2 linked regions of the Mytilus edulis genome follow. The protein of the gene in region 2 interacts with the protein of the main gene of each other region in a pairwise test. Links are inferred from orthologs where the notes say so. Each region holds a gene or a part of one and is shown on either strand. Other genes may lie near its edges.

The links. The genes of interacting proteins can lie anywhere in the genome.
Region 1: the proteins of serine/threonine-protein phosphatase PP1-beta catalytic subunit (region 2) and protein kintoun-like interact in binary tests that used the Drosophila melanogaster proteins (3 or more experiments, as listed by UniProt). The link is inferred for Mytilus edulis from reciprocal best matches to the Drosophila melanogaster genes flw and Nop17l.

What each region holds. Positions count from the first base shown.
Region 1 is NC_092346.1:42,371,825-42,375,585, reverse strand, and holds the start of protein kintoun-like, read left to right. Parts: upstream 1-1,475; 5' UTR 1,476-1,577; coding exon 1,578-3,218; intron 3,219-3,761. UniProt on the Drosophila melanogaster protein: Required for cytoplasmic pre-assembly of axonemal dyneins, thereby playing a central role in motility in cilia and flagella.
Region 2 is NC_092346.1:24,741,062-24,744,822, reverse strand, and holds the start of serine/threonine-protein phosphatase PP1-beta catalytic subunit, read left to right. Parts: upstream 1-1,191; 5' UTR 1,192-1,421; coding exon 1,422-1,473; intron 1,474-3,761. UniProt on the Drosophila melanogaster protein: Required for cell adhesion in non-muscle tissues and in maintenance of muscle attachment. Vital for larval development.

The sequences.
Region 1 (3,761 bases), about 18 Mb from region 2:
AAAAAAATGCATTTTAGAAAACATTGTGATGGGATACGTTATGTTTAATGAAATTAAGATTTCCTGGAATTGCAATTACTTATTTCTCAAATTACACTTATTTTTGTAAAAATTGCAATATTAAGAGCATGCAAAACTAAATCTGAATTTACAGTAGTACTAAGAACAATCAAGGTACACATAACATTTTAATATTTCCATAACCGGATGAACAAGAGACTTGATTATGATGGAATAATATTAAATTTGATGAGTAAACAAAATATAGGGGACTATTTCTGTTACTATTTTATTCAGAATTTAAAAAGGCATGGTAATTTCAGCTTGTTGTTTTGGGTGCACTCAGGGTTAACTTAAACCTTATAATTATCTAATGCAAACTATGAAGGCATATTAATACTAACACATGTTCATGGTGAACTTTTGGGAAAAAGACATTTTTAAGGAAAAATTGAAAATCATTACTTTTGTGAAGCTTAATGTGATGATTTTTGTCGTTGTGTTGTGTTACTCATCAGTATGTACATAATGCACATTTCAATTAATTCATATTTACATGTGTTTTGATTTTGGATAAAAAAAACTGATTGATAATAACAAAACAAAAAAAATGTTTAATGATTGCTTGTTATTTGCTGAATATCTTATTATCAAGAACGGTCTTCAACACGGAGCCTTGGCTACAGCAAGCTATAAAGGGCCCTTAAAAATGACGTGTAAAACCATTCAAACGAGAAAACCAAAGGTCTAATCTATTTAAAAAACAAAATAAACCACATCAACAAATGAAATGACAACTACTGAACATCATGTTCCTGACTCAGGACAGGTGCAAACAAATGCAGTGGGTTTAAACGTTTTAAAAGGCACCAACCTTAGCCCTTACCTGAAACAATAGTGTAATGTATATCCAGATTATTTATACATGTACAATGTCACTACTTGAGGACGAAATTCTTTTTAGGTTGATAATATAAAAAAAAAAAACTAAAGATAATGGTGGAGCGAATGTGATGCAAATTTAAATGTTATTGAATTAACTGACATAAAGAATAAGACATAAGTGTAAAAAATAATTTCAAATTGTGATTAGGGAACACTATTGTTGATTTTTTAGTAAATCTTGAAATGCTGTATTGTTGACTATATTTATATGAAATGTTCTAGCTATGATTTACATATATTATTGCTTTGCTGTAATTTTGTATACTGAATGGAGAATGGTAGTTTTTGAAGAATTTTTTATTATTCTATCATTTTAGAAAATTAAAGGAGATTTTTACCAATTAAAATGAATGCCTTAAAATTAAAGATATTCAAAAAACATTAATACCGTTTAATTTTTCATGTTCATATTACGTCAGAAATTTCATTTGTGGAAAGTGATTAAAAATATTCTGGACAGCGAAAATTCGAGAACCTGCAGGTTTTAACACGAAATTGAGTTATTTCCCTTTGCTTGATTTCTCTAGATTTATCCTCTACTATCAACGATTTAGAAAATTCCGAAAGAGCGTTCCTTGGGAGCAAAAAGCTGACCGAATATTTGTTTTTGTAGCAATCAAAAGAATTGAAAAATGGGGTCCGAAAAGAAAGAAGACTTTAAAATAACAGAAGATGAGGTGAAGAAGATAGGAGAAGCGTTGAAAGATGAACAATTCAGGAAGTTATTTTTGGAATATGCCGAAGAAATCCAAAACCCCGAAAATCGAAAAATTTATGAACAAGAGATAGCACAAATGGAACAAGAACGTGGTATGAACGTACAGTTTATCCACCCGCAGCCTGGTCATGTCTTGAAAACTAGCGTTGATGGTAACGTGAAAGCATTCATCAATATCTGTCAGAATGACAAGATGGGTAAGCCGGTTGCAAAACGTCAAACTTCATCAGATGGCAAAAGTGGTGTTAATTGGTCAATACCTCACTCACATTCACCTCCAAGAGATGATCTTGACAAACATAAAGTAAAATGCAGAGTATATGATGTAGTATTTCACCCTGATACGTACAGAATGTCTAAGTCAAACATAAGATTCAGAGGCCTTGTTGAAGACACAGCTATTGACGGTATAGAGCGGCAGTTTGGCGTGAAAGTTGACAGAAAGAATATCACACGGCCAAATTTGCCATACAAAGGTACACCCACTGCCACTGTTATTCGTTCAAAAGCAAATGAACCAGCCAAACCATTGGATGAAGATGACCCAATTAGGAAAATGCCATATCCATTCGATGAAAAATCAAGTGAAGAAAAGGCTAAAGAAATGGCTGATGCTGTTAAAAGGAAGAAAGAAGCAGAGAGTAAAAAAGCAGGGAAAACCAAAAGAAACCAAGCAGAAAAGAGAGCTGAAGATGATGCTACAGTTCCAAAGTATACCATTACACATAGATCTGACATGGATTTACAAGAGTACAGAAATACTCCTGACTCAAGGCCTAGTACCCGACCAAAAGCACTTGTTGTTTCAATTGAATTACCTTTGCTTGCTAATTCAAAGCCAGTTGAGCTTGATATATTTGAGAAAAAACTTGTACTTCAGTCTACAGAACCAGCTAAATACAAGTTAGATTTAGAATTGCCATATGCTGTCGATGAAAGTCAAGGCTCTGCAAAGTTTGATAAATCAAATAGATGTTTAATAGTTACGTTACCTGTTATACCAGAAGAGATGCCAAAACTACCAAATTTCATTGAAGAAATAAAACCTGAGAATGAGCCCAAGACTGATGAGGTTGAAAAAAAGTTTGAGGCAGTTGAAAACCCTTTAATAGAAGTTATCAGCACAACAGAAGCTAATGCCAAGCCAGTCTCAAAGGAGGAGGAAACAGTTATTGATAATAAGATGGGAAATGAATGCCCTGCATACTTAAATCATACACCAAAGATCTCATATGGATTTCCAACATTTGAATTTTCACAAGATTTTGACACTGTAACATTCATATTTAAAGTGAAAAAGATAGTCCCTGATTCTGTGTCAAAATTGTTTCCGTTGCCAAATGTATGTCATATCAAATTCATGGCAAAAGGAGCTAGTGGTTTCCCACTTCATTACAGCTTTCTGGCAAAGTTTTCTGCCAAAAACTGTTTTGTTCCAGAACATTGTAGCTTTGAAGTGAACAATAATAATGCTGTGTTGTTACTGCTGAAAGAGAAAGACAGCAGACAGACTTGGGAGACGTTTCAAGCTGGTACAAGTCTTGAAGAGCTTCAGGTAATATTATTATGAGGGTCGTAATGGGGGTTCCTTTAAGACGAATACAGTAAAAATTCTTGCCAAATGACATTAGTGGCATTAATTTTATTTGGTGCATGATGATAAAATGTACACTTAAATAAGACTGAATTAGACGAATCATGAATTTTTTCCCCAAAAAATAATGGTACAAAAAAATTAAATAATTGTTAAAACCTCTGACTAATCAGGATAAGGGATTTTGATGAAACACAGTAAAATACATGTATAAACCAAATTGACCCTTAATGGTAGCCGAAAATGACTGTTTGACGTCTAACAGTAAATTTAAAGGGCATTCCTACCCTCTTTTACCCTCTCACAAGCAGTACAATGTTGAAAAATACATATATATACATAAATATCCTGGTTTTCCTGTTTGAATAGATTTACACTAGTCTTGTTTGGGGCCCTTAATAGCTGGCTGTTCAACATAAACAAAGGCTGCTTGTTGAAGACTGTACTTTTACATATTGTGACTTGGCACGCATACCACATCTTTTTTTTTTATTCTAACTGCAT
Region 2 (3,761 bases):
ATGGTTGGAACTTTCATTGTACAATGCATTTGGTTCTGCTTTGAAAAGAATCACAAAGCTGAGTCTAAGTACCATATTATATAAAAGGTTAACTGGTTGTTAGGACCTAGTTCTTAATTGAGATCCTTGTCAGATATTCCTGGCCATATGTTTTCCTTTTTGTCATATTAAGAATTGTTTTAATTTAATATGTTCGTACGGGAAACAAGGAACATTATTCTCATACAAAAAATTAAGATAATTCTAAATACACATTCATAAAAAAATGGAATTTAATACAAAGGATAATCATAAGATATACTAGTTCTTGAATTGTCCTGGACTTCACTTCTGACTGTGATGGGTAAATGCAGGCGCGGAGCCAGAGAGGGGGGGGGGGGGGGGGGTTCCGGGTGTTGGAACCACCCCTTTTTTTGGACGATCAATGCATTTGAATTGGGACATGTAATTGGAACCCCCCCCCCCCCTTTTGTCCTAGGTTAGAAACACCCCCCCCCCTTTTTTTAAATGGCTGGATCCGCCCCTGAGATGTTTCTGAATACGGGACAAACGTGTTAGAAGTGGTAGACCCCAATGTCCAATGATCTTCATATTAAACCGAATATTGACTGTAAAAAAAAATGCTAACATTCCAATTTTCAATAACAGTTAACAGCAAATACATTATCACAATAACAGATAACAAAAAAACTAATAGCCCAATAACAGCTAACAAAGAATACGACAATAACAGCTAACAGCAAAAATATTTTCAAAATAACAGATAACAAAGAATTAAATTGCCCCATAACAGCATAACAGATAAACCCCTTGCCCCCCTCAATGAATAAGTAAATAAAACAAATCATATTTTAGATTTTTTATATCTCGTAGCTATGAGGGTCAGCTTGATAAGAGATAAACATAACTTTTTGATCTGTTAATGTGACTTTCTATATTAAGTCCCTGCTGTTGTTTGAGGTCTTATTTAGTAATAAAAAGACTTTTACAAAATAACAGAAATATGATCATAAACAGACCTCAGTAACAGACGTAATGTTTCAAAAAAGAAAATAGATAGAGAAACTAAAGCAAAGAAATTTTAATGTTTTTAAATAAAGCTTAATGGACTCCTGTTGAAGGCAAATTTGTATAATACTGATGTTGAAATTCGCGCCTTTTGTATATCGTATTCATCACATAAAAATATCTGAAACAGCGACATCTACGAAAGGAATGTGGTTGCCAAATTACGGGCGGTAATTTCATCGAAAACAGTCCAAAATGCCGTTTAAACGCTTTTTGTAACTGAATATCAATGAAACATAGATATGAAATAAGTATTATATCGAGTTTAATAAAGATCTGCACTACCCGTTGTGGGAAGTTCTTTGATTTTGCAAGGTGCTTGTCAACAACTATTTGTGACGTCATAAGACAATATGGCGGAAACAGAATTGAATGTTGACAGTCTGATCTCTCGACTGTTAGAGGGTAAATAAAGTGATAATGCATTTGAAACACTTTTTAGAAATAAGAGAATCTATTAAACAAATGAACAAAGTTATTATTAAAGATGTATGAGAAGAATGGTCAAATAGAAAACTGGTTTCAAAACTTATGAGGTCCCGTCTTCCGTCAGTTTCATAAGTTTGACAGTTGCAAATTATCATTGAATCAACTAACATACTAACGCTTTTATTGTTTATAAGAATGATAACCTTCTGAAAATATGCTACGACCTAGCTGAAACACATACTCAAACTAGTCCCTGACACGAGGTTTAAATCAGAAGTCCTCAAAAGGGAGGGACTATAAATATGATTTACTGCTGTACTGTAAAAATAACCCCATTTGAAGACTGTACTATGCATATATGTTAAGTATCACATATATTCAGTAACAGAATGATAAATAGGTTATAAGGCTTTTTACAGATTGGTACCATAAAATACAGAAGCTCGATGCTATGTGAAATTTTTTGCTGGTCGGCTGCCCCCCTCCACTTTTGTGGTAACGGGATCGTTCGCCCTGATAACATGTTCGCCCTAGGTTCGTTCGCACTGAGTTTGTTTGCCCTGGTAATTTGTTCACCCTGGGTTCGTTCGCCCTATTTTCATTTATGATATGTATATGTTACATTAACATGATTAATGAAAGAAATATATCTATATATATATTAAAATTTATGTATATCTATTAAAAGTTAAATAGCCTCACCGGACACAATTACGAACGATTTTTGAACTGTGATTAATAATTTTTTTATGTAGACTACTTTTCTTGAATTTTTTATACCATAGAATTTAAGATGTATAAAGGCTTTCCATTTTGCATCATATCCCACATAAATTTTTATGCACGTTGGGATACTTTAGTAAGATTTGCGTGACCTCGTTTTACGGGTCAAGAGAGCCACATATGGACGCAATTCCGAACAGCACTATATTGATATATCTTGCAGAAAAAATCAATGACAACAGTCTATATTGATAAAGCATACATTAATCTTTACCTCAAACACATTTTCATAGGAAAATAAAAAGCACAAGTTTGTTTTTTACTTCAATTACTTCAGCAGTGGTTGCAGACGAAATGTTGGTCATGTGTAAAGGAAAGATTTCTGATTTTTTTTGTTTTTGTGTAAGTTCCTCCTTTAAAGGAGCACTAAATTCAAGTTTATCCATTTCGGTGGTGTACTTATCATTCATCTATGATTTTTTTTATATTGGTCAACATTTCTTTCGGAGTTCTCTGGACTTTTCAATAAAATTAACATATTTTCTTTTGGCCATAAATAGGTTCACAAGAGTCTAAAAAACGTCAATTGAGGGGTTATTTGGGCATGATAAAAGGCATCACGCATATGAACAGAATCAGGAGATATTTTTCTTTCTATATATTAACAAAAGAAGGTAATATGCACTTACCTTTAAGTATTTATTTACATAACTTCCAGGTCAGATTGCCGTTCTTATAATATTTTCAGAATGATTTTGTCATCGTCATCAACATTCACCAAGTGCACATAAATTGTATTATCATGAAAACAAGGGATTTTTAATAGGGTTTTTATTTATAAAAACATTTATTGATAAATATAAACAAATATGATCTCAGAGGGCAAACATTGGAAATCGTTCGTAATTGTGTCCAGTCGTAATTGCGTCCTGTGGGGCTACAGAATATTAATTAAGTAAAATTCTTGGCTGCTTTTTACACTTTATTTTATAATAACTTTTAATTACTGTTGATTGAATTGTGATTGCTGATTAGGTATAATTTGAAATCTTTGATATCACTGATTGGTATATGAATTGTCTTTGATGGATTAATAATGAAAATAACATTTCATACGAAGCTTGAAAAAACAGTGGAGTCAGCGCAAAGTACGACATGACAAAAAAGCCCATACAATTCAAACTAACCCTTTTAATTAATTTAGAAGTAGAATGTCCCGGTTTTTTTTATAATAAGTAATAGAGACAACTCTCCATCCAAATAGCAATTTATAACTGTTATAACTGTTACTGAATATTTGATATTGTTAAAATGTATCAATAAAGTTAAATATATAAAAAACTTAGTCTTTAGTTGTTTCATGTCAAATACTTTGTAGTCTTTGAATTCACAGAAACTTATCCTCGTAGCAGCAAGACAACATAATAACTTAGTACATTTAAAAATACAATGTAGTGCTTCAACATATTCAATTAAATACACACAACACAACACTATAATAAAAAATAAAAATCAGGGCGAACATACCCGGGGCTAACAGG